Linked DNA regions of Drosophila melanogaster. Changing the gene in region 1 together with any one later gene gives a genetic interaction. Each region holds a gene or a part of one and is shown on either strand. Other genes may lie near its edges.

Region 1 (6,798 bases):
AACAATAAGCTCACATAGAGAGCATAAACAACTAGCTGATAATCAATAAAGCAAAAGCAGGACTGATATATCCATAACAACCAACAAGTGGAACCACCAACGGCGAGGGGCACAGCGATTCTAGGGGGAAGGATGGGGCACCGTTTTAGGGGTTAGGGGCAGCTCAGAACTTTAAATACTTGTAGTAATGGCCAACAACTCTCAGAAACGGATGCAATGGCTTCCAATTAAACTGTGCACTGAAGTCGTAGCAAGAACGGAAGGAAAGTAAAATACCGCGAATTCCTAGATCAGCCAGATAATAAATTGCAGAGCAAATATTAAGGTCGATTGAAATGAAACAGGTATAAACATAGAGAGAATAAACATTGTAATAAATACTAATTAAAAATATTACTTTATTAAAACCCGAACCGAAATCAACCAAGTTGGCATACAAATATATTTATTTTGGAACTTCCTCCTACCTGGCACAAACTTTGTAGTGCTGAAATGCAATTGAATAGATAAGTTCCTAATAAAATAGCTGCACGCAAACAATGAACTTGGCCAAATGTGCAGTAAGTCTATGCGTCGTATGCGTAATATTCGCTAGGACCTAGGGGTGAGAAGCCCAATTCAAAGGGCAGCTGCTTCCCAGCACTTGGGAGCTCAATTAAATTGCACTAAAAAACGGAGCCGCTTGAAGCTAAGGCGAGCACATTTTGATCAGTTCATTAAAGGCATTAAAATATAAAAACTATGATCGAGGGGCAAATGCAACGCTCGGCGCAAAACCCTAAAAGAGTGAGGCTCTCGACCTGCCACTCGAATAATTGCAGGTGTGCATTGCAGCAGGGAGAGGCAAGGTGACAATTTTGCGTCAGTCGAGCGAGTCAGAGTCGGTGTCAGCTTTGAGCCAGGCCCACAACCAGGTCCACGGGGTGGCACTTCGAAGGCCCTGCTGTTTTTTTTTCTTCAGCCAACTGCAGTAAAGCGTAATTGTTTTTTTTTTTTGTCGTTTTTTGTTCTTTATCAGACTAGCAAGAACAGCGAATTACGCGACTGCCTGTCGATGGTGAAACGTATTAAGTTGAAGTTTTACGGCGTAGTCGGGAACTTTAATAAAAACGAAATTCAAGGAGAAGGGGAATTAAATTGCACACAAGGAACTTACTCTGAAGTGCACAACGCCTTGTACAAACAAATGTTTCAGTTTAAGTTGGTAAAGTTTTAATAGAAATAATATCATAATAACATATAAAGTTATTATTATCTATAAGGTCTATATCGAAATCTTTTAAAACATCTAATGTAAAATTTTAATACTAAAGCTAAGCGGTTAATAGTAAATATTCCCCGTAGAGTATCTTTGAAATGGAGCTATACTGTTAATAACTGGTTTACTAATCCGACTACAACTAAGTAGACGAACATTACACGCCATATTAGATGAGTTGGATAACCAATCTATCAACTGCGTGCTTATCCTAAATAGATCCTGGTTCTTCGCTTTTCCGAAGATAATCTACGCAGACCTGAGCTGCCCCGTTCTGCACCCTTTCAAGACTGAGGCGCTGAAGCTGATCAGTGGCTCTTGATTATGGGGGTCGCAACATTAGCGATCGGTGGTCTGCACTTGGCGAGGGGGCGTGGCCGGGCTGCAGTTGCCGCTCCTCGCCTTCTGCATATTTAGCAGTGCTGCTCATGATAATGCGTGAGTTCTCATATATTTATATTGAAAACATTATGCTTTGTGCGGTTGCAGCAGCTAAGTACACAAAATTATCAGAAATTATGTGCACCTTGGGACAGGCAGATTCCGATCTCCCCCAGCGAACAGCCGGAGGGGCCGCCGTCATCGTCATCATCATCAGCATGACCGTTCATCATCATCTCCATCAACTGTTTGGCTACTGTAATTTCACGGTAACCTGCCCCGACATGCATAATGCAAATCAATTTGAGGCTATCGGGCGGCAAAGGGGGAATTCACCGCCCTTCATTTCATCCGAGGGCCAAGTCAAAAGTCAATGGCGATGGCAATTTGTCAACAAAGTGGCCACCGGATCATTAATAATCGAATCTGGGGTATTCAAGACCAGTAGCTACGGAGATTGATGGATCGTCAGCGGGTGGCGCCACAAGGTGGCAAGCTGGTAAGTGGTAAGTGCAGCCAATCGCATTGATTGAAATCTTTCAGTAATAACAGAGCACCCAAGAACCCGCTCCACAAACATTCCGCCTCCCGCTGTGCATTTATATCTGAATCTGTATCCGTATCCGTATCTGTATCTTGGGATTCGGATCGGTATTGGTTTGTGGGATTGGACTGGGGCTTGGACTCACCTCTTGCCGTTGCGTCGCCTTCGCTTGGTGGCGTAGACGGTGCCCAGCTGGCTCATTGCTAGGGCGGAGTTCGTTATGGTCGCCGTCGTGAATGATTTTAACTCTTATTATTTTTCGTATCAATATTTCGTTGTTGTCTTCTGCTGCCTTCTGCTCGTCTGTCGTACAGGTTGTTTCCTCGTCGTGGCTTTCTTATTTCGCTTTTTTTCCTTTTGTAATTGGTTTTTATTTATTGATTTGGCTTGCTCTGGGTACACACTCTCACACACACGGACTCGCACACAGACACAGCCAGGAGCTGAGTGCGATCAGATCCGCTGAGATCCTGCTGCGGTTTTCGGTTTCGGAGTTGTAGCCACGCGTAAATTTCGTTTTTTTCTTCTTTGTATTTATTTTTAATTATCATCACGCTTACATTTTGTTTGCTTTTTCATTTCTCGCGCTCCTTTTGTTTTTGTTTTTTATTTTTTTGTGTATATTGCACTGTAGTTTCAGTTGGTTAGAGCTAAATGAGGGATTTAATGCGAAACTGTGATTCAGCAATTGAGAAAGGCTGGGAATTTTGATTTTTTTTTTCATTCGATTGTGGGTTGTATGATTTTCTAAGGCGATAACTTCGGTTCAACCTAATAGATTTTTTAAGTAATTAGTCCCGACGGAGAATGATTTCAGTTTATCTAAAATAAATCCAATTAGTTTAAGTTGGCAATGTCATGGAGCCGTTGTCTAATACGATTTGATTTTGCCTTGCATTGTAGAATAGTATAATATGATATTAAGGCTTTACTTTATTTTGAAAATTATATTTTGGTAAATTTTGAAAATATATTATTCATAAAAAGAATATATTTAAATTTGTTTCAATTTTTTCTCACAAAGGACTAAAAAAGTATAACAGATTATGTTAGCAAGTTATTAAACATCAGAGTCAACCAATAGTGTTGATTAATTTGAATGGCACATTCTAGTCAGAAAACTGTAAAAATCCCTCAATCCTTTTTCAATTGCTTTCAAAAACGAGTTGTTGTTTGTGTTGTTTTGTTTTGATTCGAGTGGCTGCGATTTGCAGGTTATTGTTTTGGTTCTTTCGTGGCAACACTTTTGCTTTTTCACTTGCACTTTTGCCGTTTGTGTTGGTAGTGTTGTTGCTCGTGGGCTCTGGTTTATCAATGGGCGATGTTTGCGATGACGACGCATGCAACAGAGGAAATCAAAATCGGCACGGAACCAAAAGCGCTAACGCAAGAACGGCACGCAAATCATTTTCATTTTGCGGCACGATCGACGTCGACGTAGGCAGATCCGCCGGCAGAGCAACCAGAGGCGAGTTGTCAAAGTGACATTTTTCAGGCACGCACACACACACGCGCGCGTGGGTGTGTTGGAATAGTAAAATAGATAGAAGTGAATGACCGCCGGCGGTCTGCAATTCGCACACGTGACTCCTCGAAGCCTTTACAGAACCTCCAGTTACAGGGTATCGCGTGCTGCGTTTCGCTTTTGTTTCTGTTTTCGCCTCTATTGTTGTTGTATTGCCTTATTCGGGGGACACTCACGCACACACAAACACGCACGCACCTTTTAGCGGGATTCTGGCGACGGCGAAACAACCGTTAGGAGGGAGCAGCGACTGCAACTGCACGCGAGCGCCAGAAGCGAGTGAATGAATGAACAACAGTGCCAAAAAAACGGACAAACGGGCATTTGAAACGAGGCACAAAGGCGATGGAGCGCGCTCTCTCACTCGCACTCGGCGCGGTGCTCTAAGTCGCTATCTCTCACTCGCACTCTTTCAAACGTGACTCTGCTGCGCTGCGGCCACGTAAACGCTTTGAGATTCCAACAAGAACTGAGCGGCGCCACGAAACGAATGGAAAAACCAGTCCTGGCGGAACACACTGGCCATGGAACACGCGGGCGGCGTGTTTGGGGCCACTTCCAGTCGTCCTGGCAACGAGCGATCGCCAAGCGACGCGGTCGCGTGGGAGTGAGACAGAGCGAACGATGTTCCACTACCAACCGTTCCAGCGTCGCCATACGTGCGACTGGAAGGGAGCGACCAACCAAGTCGGTCTTGGAAGTGCTGCAGCTATCTCGTTCGCACCCTGTAGTTTCGTTATAGGGGGCGTGTTCGCACACACATACTACACTGACAGCCTAGTAGCGCCGACTCTTTCCAGCGCACTACCAACTGGAAATAGAAATTCGGGGCACATCGCTCATCTCTTAATTAATTAGGCGGTAATTAAGAGCTATCAGTGTTATCGCTCAATGGCATCTATCCGCCATACTCTTCTCCTATTTCAAACTTATCTGAGCCGGATTTTACCTCGTTTTGCCACTGAAATGCAAATTTTATTTGGTGTGACCAAAACCATTAAGGCCATAAACATGAGCACTCACTTCGCGCTTATCGCGAATGATTTATTCACATGTGCCACCTGACAACCGCAAAAGAACAAGGAGAACGAAATGCACACCGCTGCCCTGCACAAAACCAGAAATCATATTCCTACACCTAGACGGGCAAAATGTCCGTGCCCAAGAACCCGATTGGACAGTGTACGAGGCCCCTTTATCCCATGGCCCATATGCTGCGTCCGTCTTTGACCGCATGTCACAGATGGCGATGGAGATGCACTCGTCAAAGGTACAGTTGGCACTCATAAAGAAGTTTTTAATAAGTAATTGTAATTAACTTTAATAACAATCTATACAAGCTATTCATTTTGTAATTAATATGATTACTGTGATTTACCAAATAATTTTATGTTTATTTTTAAAAGTTGGCGAAATGTTACGTTATGAACTTTTTCCTTTGAAAACGTGTTGCATACTTGGTGGCGCTGGAAAGCCACAATATTCGAGCCCTTTCAATCATGCAGCCCATTGTAGTTCATTTGTGTGGTTTCCTAATTTGATTACTTACGTCCACTCTAATAAAACATTATTATTGTTATCGAATGACCACTGTAGAATGCCTTCAATTTCGAAAAAGCATTTTTCTTTTATTGTGACGTCAGCCATGTACGAAATTGTTGGCACTGTATTTGTATTGCGTGCAACTATTCAATGCCAAGTCAGAAGGCTGAAGAAAACAATATTTCCTCAGCTAGAATCTCCAGCAGTCTGGTGTCTCACTCAAATCTCGCTGCGTAAACTAAGGACAACAGCAGCTCCGAAGACAGCAGGATCAGAAGAATCGGGAGAATCAGAAGAGGATCCACTCCGAAGAATGAGCAAAACAGAAGGCAGCGCATGTCAATCGGTGGCACTAATAAGTGAGCTGAGTCGAGTGGAGTGGAGTGAAGTGTAGCAAAGTGGAAGGGCTTGCAACCAGTTTTGGTGCGTTGCAACTTTTTCCAGCTTGCAGCTTATCAATTTACGCTTCCACTTCGTAAGAGAAGTGCACAGTGCAGGTGCTTATTCCACCTCCCTCTAAATATTCTTATTTTGCACTGCCTTTCCTCTTCTTGCATTATCGCTTTAAAGTACAGTCATCAATTGATCTTTAAAATTGAGGGCCAATATTATGACCTTACACCTAATACTGTAAAAAATAGCAAAATATATATAAGAACTGAATGGATTTTTTAAATGTGCTTAATAATTATTTTCTCATTATTAACTAAAAAAATACATACAAAATATACACAATCCCACTGTATATGATAAATATTTATTCTGGGGTTTCTTTGCTGACTGCTTGCTCGTCCGACAATTTCGCGATGACGTCGTTTCCCCGATGAGGACTTATGAATGTTTTTCGCCGGCATCCTTAATGCGACTTTCTACTCTGGACCCACACTTCGCAATCTACCCCTCGTTTTGCCTAATTTCGTAACAAGTTTCTTATTAACTTGTTTTTGCTCGCTGCCTTTGCTCAGCAGCTGCCTGGTCACATCAATGTCACTGCTGATCACATCTAGACAAGCACTCTATATGGATCTATATAATTTGCCAATTAAGTAGGGGATAACCCTCCCCGATATATCAGACCGACAACATTAGCGGGACACAAAAGCCGCAAAACGATAAAAAAAAAAGAACCGAACAGAAAAGATACAAATGTTTTTTTTTTGTGCAGCTCCGCTGCTAACCAGCCAAAGGGTCATATACAAAATTCCACAGAAAGAAGGGAAGACCATTATGCATTTCCCCATAATGTTTACTCCGATCCATTGGCGGCGCCAATTAAATATAATTATTCTGTGTACATAAACAACAGCGGTGAGCTTAAAACAAGGTAAAGCCATAAAGTATAAATGTAAACAAAGTGCAATCTGGGCATACCTTTTGATTAGAGTAACGCAGGGAGTATCAGACCACGGAGAGAAGGGAGAATGAAATTGAAGAGGTTTCCCCCTGTTCATTATGTCTTAGCAATTTCAAAAGTATAAGTATTCCCACAACTATATTCATAACTTTCTAAAAGTAAAAAATATCCCTTACAAACGAAAAGATCATCAA
Region 2 (6,595 bases), on another chromosome or scaffold:
GTATATTTTTGGCGCCCGAGCAGGCGCACGTGCTGCACACTCTTAATGGCAAATGGCAAGACTCAGTGCGGCGGAGCAGCAGAGATGGCGGCACTCACTGTCACCTCGGCCACCTCAGCCGCCCAGGGCCCATTACTCGTAGTCTTCACAGAGCGTTAGTATGTGCGAGTGGACAGCCGCCATTGGGCCAACTCACTCGGAGACTGCCACACATTCGCCCATAACAGAATGGAGTAATTAATTAAGGCTAACGAAAGCCTAATTGCAGCAATTATGATTACAAACACATGGGGATTCCTTCTAACGATCAACTGTTTTGCAGATCTCTTAGCCAGGTCCAAACGGTGAGCAAGTGAGCGGTTTCAAGAGCAAGTGCACCAAGGTTAATTGGCCCACGTTGCGTATGAGTGACGAAAGTCAAAGACAACAAATGGAGGCTGGCTGAAGCGTTGGCGCTGTCGTTGTCGTTAGTAATGTTTCCACTGTTTTTACTGCTTTTGACGGTGCTCACATCCCCGACAATGGATAAAAATGAATTGCTTTTCACTCACCGAAAAGCAAAACTGCTCAACCAAAACGCATCGAAATAGCAACAAATTGTTCAACAAATACGAGAGACAGCCGCATCGCAGCAACAACGAGTTGTCACAGTCAAGCGCGCAATTATGCCAGAGACTGGGAAAAATGTTCCAAAAAACATAAAGAACACACAAAAAGTAGAGAGATGTAAAAATAAATAAAATGGGAAAATTGCACGTACGTGGATGAGCAACAAAGAGCTTCCAGAGGTCCCACAATTTCAATAGAATACGTTTCATGGGAAGGAAAAGTAACATAAATGTCAAAAAAAAAGACTTGCGTGCATTATATTTTACCTAAAACTTAACCTGGCATTTTCGATTTTAGTACGTGTACATTAAATTATTCGTATTAAAGAGCTTGTGTCAACTTAGATGTCTTTATAAATTAAGCAAGTTTCCAATGAAGCGTTCAATCTACATAGCCTTCTAACTTATTAGTGTGAAATAAAAAGACCTTTAAAGAACAACTTAGTGGAAGATCTACGAGAAAAGAAGTATTATAATGAGGCGTATAAACACAATGAAGTCTGATATCTTTATCTTCGATCTATAGCCGATTGAAATTGAAATTTGATAAAAGTGAAAAGCAGCGCAGTAGCAAGAGGACAGTGAAGGCAGCCTAATTGAGACGAGTCGAACTTGAAGTGAACGAGCAAACAAAGCCCGCAGAAGGCGACCACAATGGCTCTCGACGGCGTTGAGCTCTCGAGTTGAAGTGTCGCCAAAAAATAGACAGGGAAGCAACGAGCGAGATCTTTTCAAGATCTCTTTCTCAACAAAAGACCCGGATCTCTGGGAGAGTAGGTATGGGATTGGGACTGGGATTGGGCCTGAGACTGATCGGATAAGGAGGAGCAGTACTTACCATCCTTCGGTGGACTGGCGCAGGGCGGGGCGTAGCTGCCCAGATGGTAGCCGGAGTAGGAGTTCTGGTGCATTGGCGGGAACGGGTAGCCGAGGGCGCTGCGCGGACTGGGGAAGCCGGAATCCTGGCCGCCCTGCGGTCCGAAATGCTGATAGGTGCTCCGGATGCCGCCGTACCTGGAATGCCGCAAATGCACGGAAAATAATCAATACGGGGCTGTAATATAGCTGTGGCAGTTGTGGAAGAAGTAGTGGAAGTAATGGAAGTGGCGTACACCGGCTGTGAATGTGAATGAATCGTGCCGGGGACAAAACTTTTCCTACTTGCGTGTTTTGTCTACACTTTTCACTATTCACTATTAAATTCAAACGTCGCCGAGCATAGGACGAGCGTTCGGTCGGGAAAATATCTAAAAGTGGGCCCAAAATGTTTCATGTTTAATGCAAGAAGCGTCGAAACCAAAACTTTTTCTCTCACAACAAAAAATTAGGCTGGCGGAGAGGAAGGAAATTTTTGCCATGACTTCATTTACAAAAACCAGAACCGAAACCAAAAACAAAACCAAAACCTATCCAAAGCCCGAACTGGATGCGGCTTAATATATCAAAGAAAAATCAATACGAGTGTCAGAGTCGCTGTGTTTTAGTTTCGGTTTGGTCCGCAGTTCCGTTTGCAGTCCCGCTCGCTCGCGGTAAATATTTTGTTAACACTTTGCGGGCGAAACAGTTGAGCAAGTTCCCATGCATTATGTTCCGAGCGAACTGCATGAAATATTCAATGCTCTCCTGGCCCCTCAAACACGGAAACGGAAGCGGGCCGAAAGCAGCAGAAACCGCAACGGACAGCGGCCAACGGACAACGGAGAACGGACAACGGACAGCGGACAGCGAACAGCGAACAACATGGCAGCCACTCCGGGGACGGAGAAAAGTCGTGGCCAGGAACAACTCCCGAGGGCTGGTCGGCGCAGCCAAGCATTCCAAGTCCCGTCCCAGCCCAAGAGCCCAACACGCACAAATGACAGAGCAGTGGAAACCGCAAGGCTCAAAACCAAGAATGCAATAAAATATGTATAATGAAAAATCGAATCGTGCGTTGGGAAAACAATTTGCGGCTGCAAACAGTTCGCCGAGTGAGCGGTAACAGTAAACAGACCACCGAGCCCGACTTATTGCTACCCCATGAGGAACGTGTTGTTGGATAGGAACAGAACCCTCCGGATCAGACGCTTATTTAGAACACGGACCGGGAGTAAACTACACTTAATTGAATTTATTTTTGGCTTCCGCTGCCGGCCAGCCAGGCACCAGCATGAACTGTAAGCCGGAAAGTGCAGCTGAAGTGATTTTCTTAATCAAAACTAATAGTATAGCGAGACCCCAACGCGAAATCGATCCCGAAAATAGTATCATAAAGATGGAAAGCTGACGGCAACTTTCATCGATTCAGTCTTAGTCGATTTGGCTGAGGGCCTAGAGAAGGCTAAATGGCGAATTGGCAAATTGAAATTTAAAATTGTGATTTCGAATTTATACTACATTTGTTACTTTAGAAGTACATTTTTATGGAAGTCAAAATAATTTTTAACTTTGGATTACATTGACGAATTCATAAATCTACAATTGGTTGCTTTCATTTTTTAAGACAACTAATAATTATACAAGTTTTTTAATAGTAAAATTTATGTATCGATCGAAATAAGACTATTGGCTATTGTAATGTAATCAGTAATTAAGACCCTAAAAAGTTATATGAACTACTTAGACAATATACTCTTGAGTTAACCTGACTTTATTTAACTGCTTGCTTTTACCAACTGTTATTTATTATTAAAAATTGAATTTGTTTATTGTAATGTCAATGTACTATATTATCTATTTATGCAATTATGCAGCTTGTAGTCCTATGCCAACTAACTTTTTCCCTTGAAATGAATGAAATGATTTTAAAGACCAAATGGTTTTATGGTACGTATAGCGCTCTTTAGATTCATTAAAAAGATTCATATTCGAGTTTTGGGAACGCCCTGGCCACAAACTCCTTTTTTCTCGGGTGTGTCAACTGCTCCGCACAGATTGAGATTGAGTTCCGATAGGTTTGGTTTTGGCAGGGCTGAAGTCTGGAGGGGATCGAGTCTTTTCGCCGAAACACTTTCTGCAATCCTCCCGGTGACTCCACTCCACTGATCTTGGGGACACTCACCCGGCGGCGGCGTGCTGCTGCAGCTCCACGAAGGCGGACTTTCCCGGGATGTTAATGCCGGGCGTGACGCTGGCCGCCGTGTTCCCGCCGTCCATGTACTTGGGCGTGTGCGGGGCGTCGGGGGCGTCCATGCCCGACTGGGGGGTGCTGGGAGGCCCCTCGTAGGGGCTCCCTAGGTCCGTGAAATTGAGCGTGTTGGCGCCTATTGAGGCCACTTTATCAAGAATTTTGACGGCTGTTCAGGGGGATGCGCGCGGGAAGGAAGTTCTCAGAGATCCGATGGCAATGATCAGCTATACTTGCACAGTAGGAGTGTGTGGCTTGCGTATCTAAGGTTTTTGTAGGACACAATGTCTTGGCTTCAGTTCAGTTCGGCGACTTGATTTGGCGGAACTGTTGAGCGCGTAAATCCTTTCAGATGGCGAGGAGGCACTTTTCTCAGCACTGACACTCAACTTGTTAGCAACTCAACTCACTCGAAATTGCTTTCTTGTATCACTTCGATTTCTGGCTGTGCATATTCTTTGTAGATTTTCACGATTTTCAACTCCGTTTTGCGAATCAATCAAATCAATTCATATCAAATCAGATCAGATCAGATCACTACAAATCACTTTATAGTCCGCGACGGATCACTTAGCTCGACGCAGAAACGCAAGGCGCAAAACGCTACGACGGATCGACGACGGCAATTCAACGGCGAGAACAGCGGCGACGACTGCACACGAACAAAGTGCGTATACGACTAGGTGAGGTTTTCGCGGCGCGGTTGCGCGAGACTTCGACTCGCTGCGCTGTCGCTTTGCGGCCGTGCCGCTTTGCCGCTCTGTAGCAGTGGTGTGCGAGCGGCGCAGATGTCATCCATCGCCGTGCGTCGGAGCGGGACGGCTGCTGAGGCCCAAGCCGCTGGCAGTGACTCTCGCCGAGCGTCGCCAATCGGGTGGTTTGCAACCGGTTTTCTCGGTGGTGTCTCTGTATGGTGGTGCAGAAACCGCACCAATACTATAAATTTCCCCGTTCCGGGTGCACGGGGGTGGGGCTGGGCTCTGGGACCCCGTTTTTGTGCCGCTCAACTCGTCAACTTTGTCTAGGTCTAGGGCCCGCATCGAGATTGAGGCGTGGCCTGTCGCCCCGCGTCCCCACGGATTTGGGGAACTTACGGCGTGTATATGCAAATTCCAGGGGGAACTGCCCGTGGAAAGTGCAAATATTTTGACGTTTTAAATAATGTTGATTAAATGCAAAGGTCTCAATTATTAAATTGATTGTTGAACCTATAATTTGTCTTCTTATTTAGCCGCTGCTCCTTTCGGGTCTTATTTTCGGATCAATCGAAACTGTGGCACACGCATTTCCACGGGTAATCAACAGTTGCGGACAACAGACGAATTAACTTAATGATTTGTTTACGTTTTACAATCGGTGGGCTTGCTTGTAAGGAAAAAACGCTACGCACACAAACAACATAGCGTGGTATATATGACAGGTCTGCTATCATTTTCTAATGGAACCTTTAATTTGAAAATCCTTTCTAGGGAGTCTTAAAGCCTCCTTGGAGTTGGTACTTGTGGCGCCACCTAGTGGCCGCCTTTGGCAGCGACAAACCAGTCTATCGGGCCAACCTGCTCACCTGTCAAACACACACACACACACCCTCGCAGCCGCACTCGTACACACACATACTACCTGCGCACCCAGCACGCCCCCTGCTGAGAGCAGAAACTCCCTCGCCACGCCCCCTTGAGCGTTTCGAGAGAGGGCAGAGAGCTCGAGTAGGCCCAATTCAAAATGGCGTCCTTTCGGCCACATAATGTCGCTTTGTGGCTAGGGCCAAGCGACACGGACCGTTTGCTCGAGCGGACTTTTTCATTCACAAGACAAAGTCACCGAGCGGAGAGAACAGCGGAATTTCCACCTTTGTCCGCCTAGCCTAACTGGCAGTTGAAGCGGCGGCAAAGCGGTCTCCATTCCACCCCTTTCCCCTCTCCCAACAGCAGGCAGTTGTCACCTGAGAAGGATTTCCGCTGAAAGTGGGAAAATATGCATATGCATGAGTCGGAGCGGCGCTATTAACCAGAACCAGAGTGCCACAAAAATCGAATTAAGTTTGTTTATAAAAGTAAATATAAATCGAGCATCCAGCGGTAATTGAGCGCCTGATCCGACTGAAATGCTAATCCCCTCGTCCGGATTGGATCGGATCGGATCGGCTGTGGAGCCCGCCGTTCCGAGTTATGACCTGGTCGGCTGCGCTGCACTAATTTAAGGTAGCACTGCAAATGCACGTAATTGTTGCAATTACTTAATGAAATATTTATTAAATGCAAATTATGATTAGCCCGGGCTAGCCACTGCACTGCAGCTACTGTTCCTTTTCCCAGTGAGGCGCCTGGGCTGCGCTGTTTGTGCTTGACTAGGCCAATGGTAATACGGGTACCCCTCTTGGGCCGCGATTAATTGGCCATAGATCAAAATCAAATTACAGCCACACGAGACACGTGCAAATATGTCAAGCGAACACGTTTGCAAGTCAATCAGTCAGGCGAATTAATTTATCAACTGTCGCAGATGAGCTTGCGACATCGATAAATCAGTAGATATAGGACATCTGATCTATAAGTTGACTTGGAAGAGTATTATTCAAAACCCGAACACCATTAGTGCTGATTACTTACAAAATATTATAACGTCAGTTTTGAAATTTAACGATCCAAACAAACAGAAGTTTTGTATTAGTATGGATTTATTAAAATAATTTCCACAACCCCTCTTATTAGGAACATTCAAATAGATTAAGGTAATGAACAATTATCTCGCCAACATTCCTATTGACCTAGTCCGCTGGCCTCTCGGCCTTTCTTAGCCATTATGTCAGGGATTAACATAATGCCACTGTATTGCATGGAAGGTCATAAGTGAACAGGAAGAGAGGAATGCCCTTAAGCTT

What was found. Genes that interact genetically often act in the same process or in processes that back each other up.
Region 2: of ss (region 1) and Dll, changing one suppresses a phenotype caused by changing the other (phenotypic suppression), as found in Drosophila melanogaster (one study listed by BioGRID).

The regions. Positions count from the first base shown.
Region 1 is NT_033777.3:16,399,512-16,406,309, forward strand, and holds the start of ss (spineless), read right to left. Parts: upstream 4,180-6,798; 5' UTR 3,907-4,179; exon of another isoform or gene 3,885-3,906; intron 2,834-3,884; 5' UTR 2,385-2,833; coding exon 2,329-2,384; intron 1-2,328.
Region 2 is NT_033778.4:24,812,621-24,819,215, reverse strand, and holds the start of Dll (Distal-less), read right to left. Parts: upstream 4,395-6,595; 5' UTR 3,780-4,394; coding exon 3,649-3,779; intron 1,623-3,648; coding exon 1,447-1,622; intron 1-1,446. UniProt on the Drosophila melanogaster protein: Transcription factor that plays a role in larval and adult appendage development. Specifies the identity of ventral appendages (including legs and antennae) and suppresses dorsal appendage development. Involved in patterning the distal-proximal limb axis.